Sus scrofa: one gene and its partners. Each later gene encodes a partner of the first gene's protein in a complex. Links are inferred from orthologs where the notes say so. Each region holds a gene or a part of one and is shown in the gene's direction. Other genes may lie near its edges.

The links.
Region 2: KIAA1429 (region 1) and CBLL1 share a complex: the UniProt entries of both Homo sapiens proteins name them as parts of the WMM complex. The link is inferred for Sus scrofa from reciprocal best matches to the Homo sapiens genes VIRMA and CBLL1.
Region 3: KIAA1429 (region 1) and RBM15 share a complex: the UniProt entries of both Homo sapiens proteins name them as parts of the WMM complex. The link is inferred for Sus scrofa from reciprocal best matches to the Homo sapiens genes VIRMA and RBM15.
Region 4: KIAA1429 (region 1) and METTL14 share a complex: the UniProt entries of both Homo sapiens proteins name them as parts of the WMM complex. The link is inferred for Sus scrofa from reciprocal best matches to the Homo sapiens genes VIRMA and METTL14.
Region 5: the proteins of KIAA1429 (region 1) and ZC3H13 are in contact, whole or in part, in a cryo-EM structure (PDB 7VF2), measured with the Homo sapiens proteins. The link is inferred for Sus scrofa from reciprocal best matches to the Homo sapiens genes VIRMA and ZC3H13. Residues at the interface, in NP_056311.2 of Homo sapiens: Leu521, Ser529, Tyr531, Gln532, Leu535, Glu536, Ile538, Leu539, Leu540, Asp541, Val544, Val547, Thr548, Ser551, Leu554, Gln555, His558, Glu561, Val562, Ser564, Glu565, Lys567, Gly570, Asp571, Ala574, Glu575, Thr577, Ser578, Glu621, Glu625; in NP_001317494.1 of Homo sapiens: Pro1492, Leu1493, Asp1494, Val1495, Ile1496, Asp1497, Val1498, Asp1499, Trp1500, Ser1501, Gly1502, His1507, Leu1518, Lys1520, Phe1521, Pro1523, Val1526, Met1527, Arg1529, Val1530, Gly1531, Ile1532, Ser1533, Lys1535, Leu1536, Ala1537, Gly1538, Leu1541, Lys1544, Val1545.

The regions. Positions count from the first base shown.
Region 1 is NC_010446.5:42,231,914-42,235,426, forward strand, and holds part of KIAA1429 (protein virilizer homolog), read left to right. Parts: intron 1-522; coding exon 523-689; intron 690-1,410; coding exon 1,411-1,742; intron 1,743-2,758; coding exon 2,759-2,902; intron 2,903-3,513. UniProt on the Homo sapiens protein: Associated component of the WMM complex, a complex that mediates N6-methyladenosine (m6A) methylation of RNAs, a modification that plays a role in the efficiency of mRNA splicing and RNA processing.
Region 2 is NC_010451.4:107,455,200-107,459,448, forward strand, and holds the start of CBLL1 (E3 ubiquitin-protein ligase Hakai), read left to right. Parts: upstream 1-1,445; 5' UTR 1,446-1,944; coding exon 1,945-2,071; intron 2,072-4,249. UniProt on the Homo sapiens protein: E3 ubiquitin-protein ligase that mediates ubiquitination of several tyrosine-phosphorylated Src substrates, including CDH1, CTTN and DOK1. Targets CDH1 for endocytosis and degradation.
Region 3 is NC_010446.5:109,788,748-109,792,828, reverse strand, and holds the start of RBM15 (putative RNA-binding protein 15), read left to right. Parts: upstream 1-1,273; 5' UTR 1,274-4,081. UniProt on the Homo sapiens protein: RNA-binding protein that acts as a key regulator of N6-methyladenosine (m6A) methylation of RNAs, thereby regulating different processes, such as hematopoietic cell homeostasis, alternative splicing of mRNAs and X chromosome inactivation mediated by Xist RNA.
Region 4 is NC_010450.4:105,050,793-105,054,737, reverse strand, and holds the start of METTL14 (N6-adenosine-methyltransferase subunit METTL14), read left to right. Parts: upstream 1-1,134; 5' UTR 1,135-1,315; coding exon 1,316-1,381; intron 1,382-3,945. UniProt on the Homo sapiens protein: The METTL3-METTL14 heterodimer forms a N6-methyltransferase complex that methylates adenosine residues at the N(6) position of some mRNAs and regulates the circadian clock, differentiation of embryonic stem cells and cortical neurogenesis.
Region 5 is NC_010453.5:21,379,060-21,382,572, forward strand, and holds part of ZC3H13 (zinc finger CCCH domain-containing protein 13), read left to right. Parts: intron 1-1,202; coding exon 1,203-1,403; intron 1,404-3,513. UniProt on the Homo sapiens protein: Associated component of the WMM complex, a complex that mediates N6-methyladenosine (m6A) methylation of RNAs, a modification that plays a role in the efficiency of mRNA splicing and RNA processing.

The DNA.
Region 1 (3,513 bases):
GCAAGGCCAGGGATTGAACCCGAGGCTAGGGATCGAACCTGCGTCCTCATGGATATTAGATTCATTTCCTCTGAGCCATGACAGGAACTCCGACATAATCCTTTTATAACAGATATATTGACTATAGGCTTGTGGAATTATGGTTTTTTCAGATTCATTTCGAAGAATTCTGGAGATACACCACTGTTTATATATAGAAACTCTGAGTTCTTTGTCAGGCCGCAGAGGCCTCCCAGATTAATAGCACTTCTTTGAGGAAGAATGCTACCACCCAAGCCTACCCCACCCCCAAAATAAAAGCAGCTGAATTCCTAAGATTTTGAAAAAACTGCCAGTAATGTTGCTTTTTTTTTAAGATTAGGGAAAGATGAGGCAGGCCTATAATTTATTTGTTATGAGAGTCAAATTTATAGGAAATAAATTTCTGTAATCAAATGTTATATTAATATTTACATTTAAAGTATAATGATACATTAATAGTTATATTTAAGATTTGTTTTTCATTTTGTTTTATGACTGCAGGTAAAGGTTGACTTAATTGAGCTCTCTGAAAAGTGTTGTAGTGATTTTGACTTGCACTCAGAATTAGAGCGCTCATTTTTGTCAGAACCATCATCTCCAGGAAGAACCAAGACTACTAAAGGATTCAAACTTGGGAAACACAAGCACGAGACCTTTATAACTTCAAGGTAGATTTTACTTTACTGAAAATCTTGATTAGGGTCAAGTAAGCTTATTTGTTTTAATATATTTTAAGATAGACACATGACTATTAAAGGAAAAAGAAAGTTGACATAATAATTAAGTCGTGAATATTGTTTTGAAGTTTTTTTTAAAGGTAACTTGTCCTGGACATATCTTGTAAATTTGTTAACATTGTTTTAGTTTCTAAGAGTTTAGAAGCTTTGAAAAAGAGCGAACTGGGTTGTTTTTAAAAATTGTTTTCATATCAGTAAAATGTGAATACCATTCCTTTTTTTTTTTTTTTGTCTTTTTAGGGCTGCACCTGCGGATATGGAAGTTCTCAGGGTAGGGGGCCAATTGGAGCTACAGCTGCTGGCCTACGCCAGAGCCACAGCCACGCCAGATCCAATCCAAGTCTGTGACCTACACCACAGCTCACGACAACACCGGATCCTTAACCCACTGAGTGAAGCCACGGATCCAACCTGCAACCTCATGGTTCCTAGTTGGATTCATTCCCACTGAGCCACAACAGGAACTCCATGAACACCATTCTTAACTAGTTTTATTTTGTTTCCCTGGAAAGTAATAGAGAGAAGTACAAAGTTAGCAAAATTGTGATAAGAAATAATTGAAATGTAGCTTACAATGTTGCAAAGAATGACATATTTTCACTGGCAATGTGTAAAAGAAAAAGTTTTCATGGAGTATTTTTGTTTTTAATAGTGGAAAATCTGAATACATTGAACCTGCCAAACGAGCTCATGTTGTGCCACCACCAAGAGGAAGGGGCCGAGGAGGATTTGGACAGGGTATACGACCTCATGACATTTTTCGTCAAAGAAAACAGAACACAAGCAGACCACCATCCATGCATGTGGATGACTTTGTTGCAGCTGAAAGTAAAGAAGTAGTCCCTCAAGATGGGATACCCCCTCCAAAACGGCCACTCAAAGTATCACAGAAGATTTCTTCTCGTGGTGGATTTTCAGGCAATCGGGGAGGACGGGGTGCTTTTCACAGTCAGAATAGATTTTTTACACCACCTGCTTCAAAAGGTAACTACTGTGTATGTTTTCTAATGCGTTATTCTGATACTGGAATATTAAAATACTGAATAGAAGTGATTTAAATGGAAGCAATCAAATAAAGTATTTTTCTGTTATTATAGTTAAGCTACCTTTAGACCAGTGGTAGGTAGTACTATTTACAGAGTACTTTATTGGATAGAAAAAAACAATTTCTAGTTTAACTTTTGATTAATTGCATATTTAATGATGAGCTTAAAAGAAGTCTTACCTAATTATTTTCCTTTTTGCACTGAGAGTTGTGTTTTTCCTTTCTGAATAATACCCATACATTATTATAACAGTTGTACTTATCAGCAGTTTCCTGAAGATAGTTCTGTGTAGTTCACTATTGACTCTCTTATCTACTTGCTTCCTAATGTTATGTTTAATATTTTAAATTACTTCAAGATTTTAGAAACTGAGTTTCTAACATATAAACTTATAAAAATTACACTTTGTCAGTGGATTGATGACATATTTTCATGATTATGAGGATGAAAGAGAATAGGCATTTACATTAATAGTAAACATATAGTTGTGTTAGGAATTTTTTTTTTTGGCTGCACCCACGGCAGGGGGAGGTTCCTGGGCCAGGGATTGAACATGTGTCACAGTCGGGACCTGCACCACAGCTGCAGCAACGCTGGATCCTTAACCTGCTGTGCCACACAGGAACTTCCAAGAAACTATTTTAAGCATTACGTATAATACTCTCATTAACTCCATGAGGTAAGTTCTTTTAGTGTTACCATGTAATAGAAAACTTGTCGGTCAGCTGACCAGGATGTGTAAATATAGGTGGCAGAACCAGTATTTGAACCCTGGCAGTCTGCTCCAGAGTCTTCTAACTACATGTAATGCTGCCACTCCACCTGTATCCCATTTACAAAATTTCATGATTTCACTTCCATTACTTTTGAAGATTAAGTAAAACCTGTCATAACTTCCTTAATCCAGTTGAAGTTATGAAAAAAGTAGATTTTGATTGCGTTGCCCGTGTTTAGGAAACTACAGTCGTCGGGAGGGAACGCGAGGCTCCAGTTGGAGTGCTCAGAATACTCCTCGAGGAACTTACAATGAAAGTCGTGGCGGCCAGAGCAATTTTAACAGGGGTCCTCTTCCACCATTACGACCACTTAGTTCTACAGGTACATGTTTTTCCTGCTTGATACTGTTCAGAAAGAGGGAGGTGAATCCTCCTTTTCAGATTGTTGAATGTCATGTATTCTCTTTCTGGGAGAGAATAGTTCAGAATGTAGATATATAATTCTAGTCCATTTTATATTTATGAATGAGTATATATCTTCTGTATAAATATTCAAAATTTTAGATTCTAAACTGTATGTATAATCTGAGTGGTTTCATGTTTATGTGCTCTGTTTTTATAGTTCAATAAAGAAAGAAAATCATTTAAGATACCTTCTTGACCAAAGTAAACTGAGATATCTTCATAGAATATATATACAGGTTGACTCTTGAGCAATATGAATTCGAACAGCAAGGATTATCCACTTATATGTGGATTTTATTTATTTATTTATTCATTTATTTATTTATTTATTTTTGTCCTTTTAGGGCCATACCTACAGCATATGAAGGTTCCCAGGCTAGGGGTCAAGTTGGAGTAATAGCCACAAGTTGGAGCAATAGCCACAGCAACTCAGGATCTGAGCCTCAGCTGCGACCTACACCATAGCTCATGGCGATTCTGGGATCCTTTAACCCACTGAGCAAGGCCAGGGATCAAAACCTCATCCTC
Region 2 (4,249 bases), on another chromosome or scaffold:
TTTTCATCCAGGCTGCCCAGGTTCAATTCCTGAGCGGAGAATTAAAGATTTTGCTCCAAGCCATCACTCACTGCTGTCTCCATGAGATCAAAAGTACTTCTCTAAAAGATCAATACGATAATCTCTGATCTAGGAACTCTGGCATTGAAAGCCTGAATAACACGAGGTAATGCTGTCGTCACCCAGAGACAACAAGAATAGAACCCAAATCCCTGGACTCCCAGCTTGTGTTTTCCACTAATTGCACTCCTTTCTACTCATCCAAGACCGTCAAGTGTGAAAGGGTGGAGAAGGGAGTGAACACAGATGCGCCAGGGCCTGGAAGTGGAGACCCAACTGAAGGCCCTCAGGAATCCCTCTTGGGCACCTGCCTTTTGTTTCAGCTGAGGACGATGAAAGCGGCAGCAACCACGAACCCCCGGGACCAAGAACTGGAACTAGGTACTGCCCATGCTGCTATCTCTTCCTCATTTAAGCCTTTCCTCTTTCACCTCTCCCCTACGGCCAGCCCTAACATGCTCTCCTCACCCTCAGCTCCACCATGCACTTGAGTCCCCGCTTTCCTCTAACAAGAAGCGGCTGCATGGCACCTGCCCTCCAGCTGGCCCTGCATCCAGTCCTTAGGCGGGATGTTCGGAGGGATCCTAGCCCCACAAGCGTTCTGCCTAGAAAATGAATGCTCATCAAGCGTTAGAAATGGGTGGGAATCAGGGCTGATACTCAAGTCAGCTCTGCGTGGATCTCTGCAGTTCTTCACGACAAAGCAAAATGTAGACAGTAAGCATAGAGCCTTTCTTGCTTTGCTGAGAGCCTCACACAGCTCCACCTTCCCCCGGGCATCCTCCCACTGGAGAACGCCTTGCGCAGAGCTCGTGTTTACAGTTTTCCTGGCCGTGGGGGAGGAGACCTCCGCTCGCGGACTCAGGGGGATTCCAAACCGTTACTCCGCCCGCCGGGGTGGGGCCAGCCTAACGGCCGAGCCTGCGCAGTGGGCCCGGCCGGCTCCAGTGTCGCGGCGCACTACATATCCCAGAAGGCAAAGCTCTGCGGAGCGGGCGGCCGCTTTACCTGCCGCGAGCTTAGTTCTGTGGCTACTGCTGCTCCCCTCCTCCTAGGTTCCGGTCGGTCTCCATTCCACAGTTAAAGGCTACTCCCTCTTGAAGCACATGAGAGGAAGCTTTAGCAGTCTCGACAGTGTAGCCTTTCGCGTACTCGCTCTTTCTCTCTCGCTCTGCCTGAACTATGCCTGACTCTCTCACCGGAGTCGGCTAGCCAAGGAGAGAGGAAGACGTCTTTAAGGGCCCCAGCCTGGGCGAGCTGGTCGCACTTCCGCCTCTCGGGCTCCGGAAGGTAGCGCGCACGCGCTCCCTGCGACTCCGGCGCCGTTGACTTCCGCTCCCACTGTGCCCCGCGAGCCGAATCATGGATCACACTGGTAAGGAGGCGGAGGCAGTGGGGGTCCCGGTTCCATGCCCCCTTGGCCGGCCTGGGACTGGTCGCCCAGCCGGCATAGAGGGGTTACGCTCGCCCCACAGCACTGAGGTGTCGCGGGGAAAAAGAAATCTCACAGACCCTTTTCCGTGTCCGGCCAGGGCCTGCTACTTCCCGGCCTACCCTCCGGTGTGGTACCTACAGCCTCAGTGCCGGCAACAGCCGTTCCTTTTCTGTTTCTGCTAAGCTCCGAGCTGGGACAGCGGGCGGCGCAGGCCACGCGGGGAGGAGAGAGCGCCGGCTCTTTTTTTCCTCATTCTGGGTGCCGTGCCCTACGTTATGGGGACTGGCGGGTAGATTCCAATCTCGGAGTCGGGGAAGCCTCATTGAACTGGGAGTCGTTGCGCGAGAGTGGATTGGAGACTTCCTGCTGTCTCAGTCAGCTTTGGGCGGGTGCTGCGGTGGTCACCGCTTGGTCTTTCATGGACTAGAGGTGGGAGAAGGGAGTCGGATATGGTTTTCGGAATCATACCGGGAGCAGCTTTTCTGCTTAAGCCAAAAGCGTGCCCCGCTCTTCGGCTGTGGTCCTTAACCATCAATCTTGAGCTTAAAATCAAGATACTCTCATCCTTTTCTCCAAGTAAGAATGGCTCCACTCTTTGTTGTGTGTCTTTTGGCTTTTGCTTCCTTGTGTTTTTTGGATATTGAATGAGTACCTTTGGAGTTAGACACTGCTCCGTATGGTTATATCTAGGCTTAGAGAAGGCTTTTTCCAGTATTAACTATTAGTCGGGATGTCCTCTGTCATCAGCTACCTACTTAATTTTGTACGTGTATCTTACACACACTCTTCAAGGCCTGAAGATGGAATGGTAAACAAGATACACTGAGTCTATGTTCTTTTTGAGGTTAGGTACTGTTGGGAAAGACATAATAAGTTTTAAAAAAAAAAACCCAAAACTTAAATATTTACAGATTATGATTGCTTTAAAGAAAATAAATGGGTGCCATGGTAAAGACTACTAGGAGGAAGCTCCAGGGAGAGTCAGGAAAGATCTTTTTGGAAAAGTAACATTTGTAAGCTGAAATCTGATGGACGAGAAGAATCCCTCATGGAATAAATCAGGTGGAAAGAATTTACCGAAAGTAAGACTCTGAGGTGGGAAAATGTAGGAAAGAACAATCAGCTGCACCTTAGTTAGCAAGAGGGAAGGAACGCCAAGACGAGATTGGAAAGGAAGGCAGGAGTGAGATGGTGAAAGACTTTGAAGTCCATGGTAAACACTTGAATTTTAAGTGCAGTATGAAGCCACTGAACAGAAATAGAGGGGTAACAATCTCTTTGTAAAAACATAATAGGTTCTCTGGAGAATGGTGTAAGAGAAGGAGGCAAGAAAAGAAAATAGAAAACTTAGGGGGTGAGTGCAGTACACCAAAAGGGAGGCTTGGTTTAGTGAAAAGAAGAGTGGGCAGATGCAGTAAATCTTTTAGTGGTAGAACTAAAACATGCACTGGTGGATTTCTTTGGAGGTATGTAAGAGAAAGGAGACATGCCTTGGTTTCTGTTTTGAATAGTTAGGTAGTGCCCATTACTGGAAAACAGAGTACCAGATGTGTATTGAGACATACAAGATGTTAAGTAGAGGTGAGAGAAAGTTGGGGATTTAGTACCGCATAGCTGTTATTTTAAGGCATGGGGATGGATAAGATCACTTCAGGAACAGGAATACAGAAGAGAAGAGGACCTAGAACCAGACTCTATGGAACTCTAGTGTTTGAAAATTTTATAGAATCAAAACTCTGGGATCTTGGTCTTGGAGTAGCAGACATGCCACAATAGCAAGATTTTTCTCATTTGAGCTTAGACTGAAATGGGCAGTCAGGCACCTTCCACAGTTCAGAGGATGTTATGTTAGGAAAATATAATATGGGTAGGTGTGTATCTGAGTATTTATTACCCCAGTTCTCTAAATTAAAAGTTTGCCCAAGAAAATAAAAGTCATCTTAACATGAACATATTCACTAATGAGCTGACTACTTAGAAAGTTCCTGCTCAGATATTTCTGCCACTTAACACCAGCTTCTTTTCTTTTACTTAATTTTGTTATAAGGCAGTGTCCTTGGTGTTTCATATCAGGAAATAGTATCAGATGCTGTACATTGATTGTGATTACAAACCTTACAAAAGATTCAGGTTTTCATGAAATTTGTATGTGAATTTGATAATTCCTTGAATCACAAAATCTTGGGCAAGTGAGGAAATAGCAGTTAGTTAGTTAATTGAAAACATTATAACAGGATAGGCATCTCAAAAGGATGATCCTAAAGCAAAGGATTAAGAAGCACCATGGGAAATTGATGAAGCCACCTGGGGAAATTGATGCATGTTATGCAAAAATGACTGGTTTTGTGATGATGCTGAATAAGTCAATCATAAGATGAAGGTTATTCTGTGGCGGGCTAATAGAATTTTGTCAAAAAAAATTACTCCCCAAAACTCCTAATTAACACTTGATTCATTCTTTGGCTTTTCTTAGAATTTGCACTTAGTTGTAAATGTGACCTAAATTTTGTAAAAATATTTTTGGTTTCTTTATTTCAAGATAAAATTATAAACAAAAATCTTTAAAAAACATATGTAAAAGTGTTAATGCCTTGTAAAGTGAATTTCACTTTAAATGACCAGTTGTATCCTTAATTCTCATTCTCTGTAATATCCAAGGGCTTTTGTTAAGGCTTTATGTTTTCACTTGGCATATTCAAAAGGAAATTGTTCTACATGTTCTGATTCTCAATAAAACCCCCAGACAAACTCAGA
Region 3 (4,081 bases), about 68 Mb from region 1:
TATTTTCCCACTACATTAGTTACCTAAGGAATTGTCTATATCATTTGTTATAAAATATTTTCCTGTCAAAGTACTGCAAAGAAGGGGAGAATGAACACTGGGGAGTCACCCATAATATGTAAGGATGACTTCAAAACAAATGCTTTTCACAGACTGGGAAAAAAAACAAATAATTCTATAGGACATATATTATTCTTCTTAAATATCTGTAAATTATATTGGCTCTCTAAACCTCAGTTTCCTTAACTGATAAAAAAAAAAAGAGAGAATTATAAGCCTATCCATCTCCACAGGTTGTTGCGAGGCTAAAGCAAGCCAATGGGAGGAAAGTTTTAGCAGAGCACCTGGTATGTCATTACTCAGTAAAGGCTGGCTTTTATTTTTATTATCTAGTTGTGAGTTATGTAATCTCATTTATTTGTTCAGATTTCAACCTGTGGGAAGGAGAGGCTGCTGCTGAAGAGCATGTCGTTTCCAACAACCAGGTTCACACGGGATATGGTGGAAAGCGACCCACAGTGGTAGTTACTGGCCTCAGGTTCTGTCCCACACCCTGCGGATTTATGTGCCAGATCCAGAAAGTCACAGAACATAGAATTCTAGGATTTTATGGGAGGCAGATTTTGTCAAGAGAAGCTAGGACTCTAGATTTGGGCTCCTGCTCCTTTCCCTTTGACTCTACTGCCTCTTTCTTTAAAACAAAACAAACAAAAATTACCACCACTGGCACAGCTGTAATTAGCCTCTCTAAATCTCAGTTTCCAAGTCTGCAATTAAGATAATCATATTTGCCCTAACGCATATGATTACTATGAGGATTAAATTGGATAATGTAAGGGAAATCATAAAATGACTGTTTTAATTGACTCTTGCTAAGTATGTACCATCAGCTTTATATACATTGTGTCTTGAAATTCACCCTGTAGGTAGTTGTGGAAGAGACTGTTGGTGACCCCAAGACCTGTTCTCCCTCTTTTCCTTAGAAATAAGACCCCTGAAAAACAAATACCATATGATATCACTTACATGTAGAATCTAAAATATGGCACAAATGAACCTATCTACAGAACAGAAACAGACTCACAGAGGCAGAAAACAGACTTGTGGTTGCCAAGGGGAAGGGGGAGGGAGTGAGATAGACTGGGAGTTTGGGATTAGTGGATGCAAACTATTACATTTAGAATGGCTAAAAAATAAGGTCCTACTGTATAGCACAGGGAACTATCTCCTGGAAGAGACCATGATGGAAGATAATGTAAGAAAAAGAATGTAGAGCTGGGTCACTTTGCTGTACAGCAGAAATTGGCACAACATTGTAAATGAACGAAGTTTCAATAAATTTTTTTCTTTTTAAGACTCCTGATTTTTAGTTGGGCTAAAGTAAGATACAGAATTATACCCCCCAGCATTCCTTGCTAAGTGTGGTTGCAGGTCTATGTTTTGGTGAATGAGATAGAAGCGGAGTTTTAGTGAGTCACTTCTGGGAAGTGTCTTAAAAGGAGGAGGACATGTTGTTCCATCTTCACCCGCTGGGTGACTGGAATGGTTATTTTATGGCTGGAACTTGAAAAGCCGTATTAGATCATATGGCAGCATAACAATCTCAGAACATCAAAAGAGAAGGAAATGATCCATTTCTTGAAAGTCTTCTGATAATAAAAAAGAGTCATAGTAACATAATGAGTGAAAAATGCAAATCTCAGATTACAAGTTAGTATGAAGTTACAAAACGAGCAAAACTAAAATAACATACATTTAAGGCGCATGTATGTGCATGTGCGTGAACACACATTTGCACGCATACACATATATGGATTCCTTAAAGTTCCTTAAAAATTTTTTTAAGTTTTTAAAACAAAACAAGGGATTGCTAAATACCAGGTTCAGGATAGTTGCTATCTATGAGGGTAGGCAGTGGATAAGGGAGGAACATTTAGGTAGATGCAGATTATTGGTAACTTTCTACTTGTTGGATTGAATGATAGGTTCATGGGTATTCATTATGTTCTTGACTAAGTGAAAAGTTTAAAGGCCCATAGATGAACCACTGATGATTGTGTGTCATGAACTAAGGATTGTGATTAATTCAATTCTACGTACTTAAGTTCAAAGAGAAAATATACTAGTGATAGCAATATATGCTTACCATGTGCCAGGCACTCTTCTAAGCTCCTTGTACAGTCAGATGACCCATGGTTGGTTGACTCTGAGGATGCCAACCATATATTTTAACCCTTTTAATCCTCCCAGTAAAGAGGTTCTATGATTGTTCCCATTTTATAGATGAGAAAATAAAGGCTCAGAGGGATTAACAGTAACTCTTTTGAGACCCACAGCAGAGCTGGGATTTAATCCAGGCTAGCTGGTTCTAGAGTTCATGCTCTTAACTACTGCCCTATAAAATGTCTAAATAAATGAAAGAGATAATTATATTAGGGCTTAGTCACCTAGGAGAAATTATAGCAGAGGCTTTCTGTAACAGTGCTGCAGGATGAGCCACACGCACAGCTCTTTAAGTATACTAAAAACCAATGAATTGTAAGCTCTAAATGGGTAAACTTTATGGTATATAAATTATATCTTAATAAAGCTTTTTTTTAAAAAAAAACCCCCACAAACCACAAATAAATGACTTTAGGATGCAAACTGTGTTCTAAGTGATTGTTTGCTATTTTAGCTATTGCATATATGTCTATGGGTAAAAGAGACGTATTCTGCAAACAAAACAAGCATTACAGTCAGGAGACCACTCACTTTGCAAGAAAATGAAACAGAAAATTTTAATCTACTACTATGAGCGGGAGAATTGTTTTTTAAATCCCCAGCTTCAGGGTTTTTTTTTTTTTGCATCTGCCAGGAAATCAAATGGCTTTCAGCGCCCAGGACAAATTTCATATTGTAATCATAACTGTCTCTGTGTGTATTGAGAATACACAAATAATAAAACATAGGAAGGAAGGGGTGGAAAGAGCACATTTGATTGAAAACACTGATACCTTTTAATTGCACAACTTTCTTTCATGTGCATAACTTTTATTTTGCTTTTCCTTTTTAATCTAAAACTGATTTTATAGGAGACGGAGAAAGCACTTCATTTAGACAGCTTAGCTATGTTTGCTCTCCGCCTGGGCTGTTTCCTCTAGGGCGTTTGAGTTGTACAGCTCCAAGGCTCCAAGGGGTCAGCATTGAGGTCAGAATAGGCAATGGCTACTTTCCTCAACACTATTTTTTGGTTTCTGACAAGGCATTGAAAGGAGAGATCAACATGCTGCTCTGATGCTCAGGGAATCTGTGTTTTCCTGACCGCTGAAAGATCCTCTTCACCGGGCCAGTTACCCTCGCAAATCTGGCCAGAGATCACAAGACCAGATGAAAGCCTGGACGGGACCTCAACAGCTCCATCACCAACACTAGAAAAAGTGCTCAGTCTTGGCTTTCTAAACCATGGGTCACTTTTATCCTCTTTCAGCCCTCTCTAAAGCACATGTGTGAACATAGGCTGATACACCCTCACTAAGGCACTTCATACTTTAAAGAACACAAAGAAAATGAAAACAAATCACTTATTTTAACTATAGCTTGGATCAACATACCATGTCATTTTTCACTTCTGTCGTGGACACTTGTACGTGTGCACACACACACAATTATGTTTTGACTCTAGTTATCAAAAGAGATAATGGAATCCAGGCTATTTCTGTCTACCCATTAATTTACCAGTCCTCTTGATACGAGATAGGCTGTCACCCCCCCCCCACCCCCGCTTAGCTAAGCCTTCCTGCTGCAGCCACATGTGGGCAATAGCTTCCATCAAGCTTTCTGGTATTTTGAATGGCAAGCCACTAAGCCTAGCAGAGCCCTGGCCACTGCCACACATACCAGTATAGGCTCCCTGAATTTCTCCTTCAACTTTCATGCTCCCTCAGTCTATATCGTGAGGCTTAGGAAACTAAACTTATTTGGTCTTTTTTTTGACCAGTGAGTCATCTAAGCAAGTCAATTTAGGTCAAAAATAATCACCTGGGAGCTTAATTTATTTGGATTGGCTATAACACTAGTTAAAGTGGCTTAACTTTAAATT
Region 4 (3,945 bases), on another chromosome or scaffold:
TACCACCCACCCACTTCCCTAACGAAAACACTCCATAAAATTCATCGTGGTAAAATAGGAAACTTTTTGGAGTTTAGGTAGTGGCTAGGCAGATTAAGGAGCCCACACTATCTTTCTGAGAATGAGGGTTGGCTCCCTGGCTTCCCTCAGTGGTTTAAGGATCTGGCATTGCCTCAAGCTGCAACACAGATGCATCTTGGATCCTCTGTTGCTCGCAGCTGTGGTGTAAGCCATCAGCTGCACGTGCGGCTGTAAAAACAAAAATTAAATTAAAAAATAAAAATAAAATAGGAAACTTCTCAAAGGCTAATAAGTTGTGAAGAAGAGCCCCGGCAGAGGAAGTAGTTGTTCCCTGCCTGAAGGGGAAAGTAAGCGTAAAAAAAAAAATCTTAATAATAATAAACACTTCCATAGCAGTATGTGTTTGGCTGTGTTTATTCTTTCAATCTTTGCAACTCTGTGAGGTAGGCACTCCTCAAGCCCATTTTAGAAATAAGAAAAATAGAGGCTCAAAGAAATTGATTGACTAGCCAATCACTCAGCTAGTGCAGGGTTCAAACCCCGCAATTTGACTCGAATTCGTGCTTTCAGCAAGACAATGCTATCCAGTAATTTTTATTTTATTTATTTTTGTCTTTTTAGGGCCAAACCCGGGGCATATGGAGGTTCCCAGGTTAGGGGTGGAGTCAGAGCTACAGCTGCCGGCCTAAGCCATCCTAGCCGAGACTGCAACCTACACCACAGCTCAACGCATCGCAAGTCCCTTAACCCACTGAGCAGAGCCAGGGATGGAACCTGCGTCTTCATGGATGCTAGTGAGATTCCTTTCTGCTGAGCCACGATGGGAACTTCTACCCGGCAATTTTTAAAACGTTAGGACTAGCAACTGAGGAATTTACGGCAAAAGGAATCAACGAAGCGGCCCACAACTCCTAACACACCAAGGGAGCCTTAAGTCTCATAAAGGAAAGCTCAAATGAGAGGCCCGGAGACCAGCCCACTCCATTTTTGACAGCTGCGTCCACCAAACCGCAAAGCTTTCCGAAACCTCTCCTGGGCTGGTGTTGCAGGACCCTCATTGGTTCCCTTGTAGGTGCCGTCAAATCGCAGGCATCCAGGAAGAGGCGGGACTTCCGGTCTGGAGGAGCAAATTCGGACCGCACCGGAAATACCTATTGAGGAAAAGAATATTGGGTACCCGCCGCTGGAAGCTGCTGGAGAATCTTGTGTTCCACACATTCGGAAGAAAGATTGGTGGGGGAATTTATCTCCTCATTGCCAAATTTTCGACGTAGTGGAAAACAAGAGTTGGGCCATGGACAGCCGCTTGCAGGAGATCCGGGAACGGCAGAAGTTACGGCGACAGCTTCTCGCGCAGCAGGTCCGCGGCCCTGGGAGGGGTCGCGAATGCGCGTGCGCGGCCGCTCTCTTGCCTCCACCCGTAACCCCCGTTTTCTGTCTCCTTACCTTCCGGGGTGCAGTCCCTTTTGCTCCCATGACCTTAATCCCTGGGCCTGCCTCTTGTTCTCAACTCACGTGGTGCCCCGAATCTTTTCCATGCGAGGTCATTGTGGTGGTGCTAAACCGAACGCCACGTTTGAGTGGTCTTCAGCAAACTTGATGGCCCGCGCAGTGTCTGGCACAGTGCTCAGTGATGGGGATACAAAGCTTTGGTTTTTGTGTGCAAGTTACCGCAGTTCAAGCAATGAAAAGTGACTTGTTTTCCCCTAAATTTCTCTTCACTACTTAAACAGTTGTTTGCCTTTCTTCATAGTCAGCGCTTAATTCTTAAGATTGTGGCTTCCTTGTGAAATAGATTTACAGTATCTTCTCTGGGATGATGTCTGAAGATTGCATTGGAAGTAGCCTGGGTGTAAATCTTAGATTCTGTATCTTGTGTGTTGCAGTCGATTGTGCTGTGTACGGTAACCTCGTCAACACCTACAGCTAATGTTTGAATTCTTACTCTGTATCAGTCACCACAAACGTCTGAAATAGGTAGTATTATCATCACTTAACAGATAATGAAACAGAAGCTTCAGAGGTTAAGTCATTTTTGACCCGGGTCTTTCACCGCTAGGACAGAAAATTGAACTCAGGTTTGTCTCTCCAAAGCTTATCTTCATACTCCCTGTGTATAAGTTAGCATTTACTTAAAGTATAGACTGCTACTTAAGTCTGAGGCTGTGTTTTCCATTCTATCATTCAGATCAGTGAAAGTGATGGGGGAAATGCTCATAGGCTTTAATAGGGCATCTTATTTTTTTTCAGTAATAAATCTTGTTTTTAGTAAGTGGAAATCTGAGACCTTTTCTTTTATGATGTCTTAAAAAGATTTATGGTACAGTGTTTAAAAAGTGGGTATTTGGAATCAGATCTGTCCCTGTCCTTTTGGTGTTGTGATTTTGGACATATCAGGTATCTTTTCCAGGCCTTTCTTTTCCCAGTTTTTTTTTTTTTTATCATGTTATCTTCAAAAATGATCAGTAGTTCTATTACCCCCACTGTTTAGTTTTGAATTCAAACCTCTATTTGATTCAAAATACATTTATAAACAGTTATTTGAGTGTCTCACTATATGCGAGAAGCTCTCGTAGACATTGGGAATTCAACTATGAATAATAAGTAGTCTTACCCTTGAAGAGCTTACATGGTGTGCAGAATTTAATAATGGCAGCCATTTATTAAATCCCTTGTATTGTTAAGACTCTGCCAAGTTTTTACTTATATTTGATCGTACAAGTCAGGTGCTGTCTGCACCTTATAGATGAAGAAAATAAAGCTCAAAGAATTTAGTTACATGCTGCAGTCCACAATGCTTTTAAGTTTGCAGGATGCAGTTTTAGGCCTTTGCATGCCCTTTGCAATACACCTAGTTGCCTCCTGGTGTAGTTGGACAGGAACCATTCCACTTAGGTAAGGATGTTCAATGTAGTCAATGACAGACTTCCACTTTTACCAATTTCAGCCTCTTTTTCACTTACTTTTCTCTGTATGAATAAGACAGACTGGTTTATTACTCTCCAGAATGTGATTTGTGCAATATATACTTGATTTTTAGTAATTGTCCTTCCTTTCTGATTTCTTTCTATCCACTGTGGCACACTCCAGGTCCAAACTTGATGAAATCTATCCTGATCTCCCTGTTTTAGGCTCTTTTCTCGCTCAGCTTCCATTGTCCTTACTGTTGAGTCCACTACTGTGTGTAACTAACCATCATACACAATACAGTTTGTGTGCATTTAATTCCTGTTGTGTTCATCTTCCACCCTAACTTTGTTTCTTGTCCAAAGTAAGCTTTTAATAAATTTTTGTTGATTAATAACTGTTAGAGTACAACTCAATGTGTATAATTTCCCTGATTTGCTTTTGGCTGCTGGATGAAGATATTGGATGCAGTGTATAGGCCCAGACCATGACTGTGGCAAATGATGTGCAATTTACATGTGCTTTTTACTGAACTTGTAGCTTTGTTTCAGAAAATTGCACTTGCTTTCAGATGATACCAAATTGTTGTAATTACTCAAATAATTTATTTAGGGTTACCACAATGGAAAGTCTGTTATTTAAGTTATTCTATTACAGTTTTTAAAAAAAAATTTGGAGTTTGAGAAGACAATTATATATGTGAGCGGAATTTGATTTAAAGCATTCGTCTTGGAGTTCCCATTGTGGCTCAGTGGTTATCGAGTCTGACCAAGAACCATGAGGTTGTGGGTTTGATCCCTGCCCTTGCTCAGTGGGTTAAGGATCCGGCGTTGCCGTGAGCTCTGGTGTAGGTTGCAGACGTGGCTTGGATCCCGCGTTGCTGTAGCTCTGGCGTAGGCTGGCAGCTACAGCTCCAATTAGACCCCTAGCCTGGGAACCTCCATGTACCGAGGGAGCGGCCCTAGAAAAGGCAAAAAGGCAAAAAAAAAAAAAAGCATTCGTCTTGTAAAACATTGT
Region 5 (3,513 bases), on another chromosome or scaffold:
GGTCCAGTCAGAGCTGTAGCTGCCAGCCTATGCCAGAGCCACAGCAATGCCAGTTCTGAGCCTCATCTGTGACCTACACCACAGCTCATGGCAACGCCAGATCCTCAACCCACTGAGCAAGGCCAGGGATCGAACCCACAACCTCATGGTTCCTAGATTTATTTCCACTGCGCCATGATGGGAACTCCACTCTGCCCATTTTTTAATGGGACTGTCTGTTTTTTGTCTTTAAATATTTGGATATGAACCCCTTAATGGATATAAGATTTGCAGATCTCTTCTCCCATTTATTATGTTGCCTTTTTATTTTGTTGATAGTTTCCTTCACTTTGCAGGAGATTTTAGTTTGATGTAGTTGCATTTCTTTATTTTTGCTTTGGTTGCCATTGCATTTGGAGTTGGTTTCCAAAAAATATCACCAAGAGTAATGTCAAAGAGCTAATAACACTTAAGTTTTCTTCTAGGAGATTTAAGGATTCAATTCTTGCAATCAAGTCTTTAGTCCATTTTGAGTTAATTTTTGTGTGTAGTGTAAGATAATTATTATTTTGTAAATGGCTGTCCCATTTTCCCAACAGCTTTTATAGAAGAGACTGTGCTTTTCCCATTTGTATATTCCTGGCCCTCTTGTCATAAATTGAGCATATATGCATGGGTTTATTTCTGGCCTGTCTGTTCTGTTTCATTCATATATATATGTTTTTGTGTATTATACTGCTTTGAAAATAGCATTGTAATATAGTTAGAAGTCAGAGAGTGTGGTGCCTCTAGCTTTGTTTTTCTTTCTCAAGATTGCCTTGCTGTGCTGAGTCTCCTGTGGTTCCATGCACATTTTAGGATTGTTTATTCTTTTTCTGTGAAAAGTGCCATTAGAATTTTGATAGGGCTTGCATTGAATCTGTAAATTCCTTTGGGTAGTATGGATGTTTATAATATTAAGTGTTCCAGTTCCTGAACTTGGATATCTTTCCATTCATTTGTGTTGTCTTCAGTTCGTTTCATCAGTGTCTTGTAGTTTGCAGAGTATATAGCTCTTTTACCTCCTGGGTTGAAATTTATTTCTAGATTTTTTTTTTTCTTTAATGTTGATTTTAAATGGGGCTCTTAATTTCTATTTCTAGTAGTCTATATTTCTTTCTCTATAGACAACAAGAATGGTATTTCTTAGTGTAATGAAAATCTGTTCTTTAATTTTTTTATAGATCCATTAGATGTGATCGATGTGGATTGGTCTGGCCTTATGCCAAAGCATCCAAAAGAGCCACGAGAGCCTGGGGCTGCACTGTTAAAATTCACACCCGGAGCGGTAATGCTGAGAGTTGGGATTTCTAAAAAGTTGGCTGGTTCTGAACTCTTCACTAAAGTCAAAGAAACGTGTCAGAGACTTTTAGAAAAACCCAAAGGTAATTCCCTCCCACTTAGACTGTATAATGTCTAATATAGTTACTAAGATGCCTGTGAAAAGGATTCTCTTTTGTTCTCATGTAGCAGTTACGATATAGGAACTTTTTTTTTTAAGGAATCACTTATTTTCATCATTTAATCCTCATAGTCAATGTTTATTTCGATTTGAGAAAAATTTAAGCCTATAGAAAAGTTGTTAAAAATAGCATGATGATCTTTCTGTATCAAAATTACTTTTTAACAGGTAGGTTCTAATGTCAGAGTGCTTAATGGTTTACCCAGGGCTAAATGAAGCAGGCCTGGGAAAAGTGAACTAGCTAGTTTTCGTATGTAAGCAAACTGATTATTTTGGCAGCCTTTTGCCCTGGGAAGTGGGGAAGTCTACTCAAATGCAGATGTTTAGGTTGAGCCTTTAACAAAGTGGTTAAGAGCTTCCTCTCAGGCCAGATGGCCTGGATTCCACATCTGCGCAGCACTTAATTTATTTAAACGCTCTTTGTGTTCTTGTCATCTACACACTGGAGATAATTATACCACCAAGGTCATAGGATTGTTAGGAGGAGCTAATGAATATTACAAGTAAAACGCTTTGAACAGTTTCTGACATACAGTGATGCTCAGTAAATATTAGCTGCTGCTGTTGTGCTTGAAAACATTCTTATCAAGGTTGATTGTAGACCTTCCTGTTACAGTTTTTCATTATTCTAGAACACTACTTTTTTTTTTTTTTTTTTTTTTTCTGTTTCTCTTACCTAGTACCTACCTTATTACATTTAGGTAGCTTTTTTTTTTTTTTTTTTTTTTTTTTTGTCTTTTTGCTATTTCTTGGGCCGCTCCCGCGGCATATGGAGGTTCCCAGGCTAGGGGTCGAATCGGAGCTGTAGCCACTAGCCTACACCAGAGCCACAGCAACGCTGGATCCGAACCGCGTCTGCAACCTACACCACAGCTCACGGCAACGCCGGATCGTTAACCGACCTAGCAAAGGCAGGGACCAAACCCGCAACCTCATGGTTCCTAGTCGGATTCGTTAACCACTGCGCCATGATGGGAACTCCAGGTAGCTTATTAATACTTTATTAAGGGAGAGGAGGAGTATAACAAGAAGGAAAGGGGGTAAAAGGTGAAAGCAGTAAGATTCCTTAATATTAAATCATGTTCATGAGAGTAAAAAGTTTAAAAGAATTGGGCTTTTCTACTAATATAAAATTTCCACAAATTTTGTTATATGTATTTCATGAATCCATGTTCTTTCTTCAACTGTTAACAAAATCAGTAAGACTCTTGATTTTAACTTGGCCCAATAAATATAGACTGTGTATAAGAAATGTAAATTATAATAGTGTGTGTTAACCTGAAAAATGACCAGTATTTTGAGTTCTTATCCCATTCTTTCTCCCTTGTTCAACTGGTTCTGTGCTCTTAAGCAAGTAACTCCCTGTGGGCATAAAATGATGTAGTGAAACCCCTGAAGTCTTAGCCGTCTCTAAAGCTATTTCCTTCTGTGTCTTTTCTATTGGCATTTCCAGTTAAAATCTATTGCATAGCAAAATCAGGCTAAAGTGATTATTAGTCAGGGACAAGCTAAATCTAAACAATGAAAATATACACTGTAGCGATTTGATTGTTTGTTACCAAGTAGTCTTATTTTTTGGTGCTCTGATAGCTTTGTTAGTAAACTAATATGATAGTCAATGTAAGTTCCCTAAGGAATAGGACTTGTTGTTTATTGCATTATTTAATGTCTAGTGACCTGTTCTTACTGATTATGTACAGTACCTGACACAGAGTAGTAGTCAGTAAATACTTGTGAAATAACTGATAGTGATTTTTTTCCCTGTTTGGTCTGTTTCTGTGCCCCAGTACAAAAAGAATATCCCCACTCCTTATGTAATTTTTAAATTCTAAGACTTAAAACAGAAAACTTGCCTTTGTCCTGTAATTGAAATTGCTTTTGTCTAGGTTTTCTGATGGTGGTATGAATAGGTTCTTTGGAGCTAAACTTTCCCAGTTATTTTAGTTCCATTGGTTTGTTACTACTCATGTATGCATTTAATCTGTCTCTTGTGTAATTTGGTGCTGGTCCGTTCAAAACCAGGAAGAGACTTC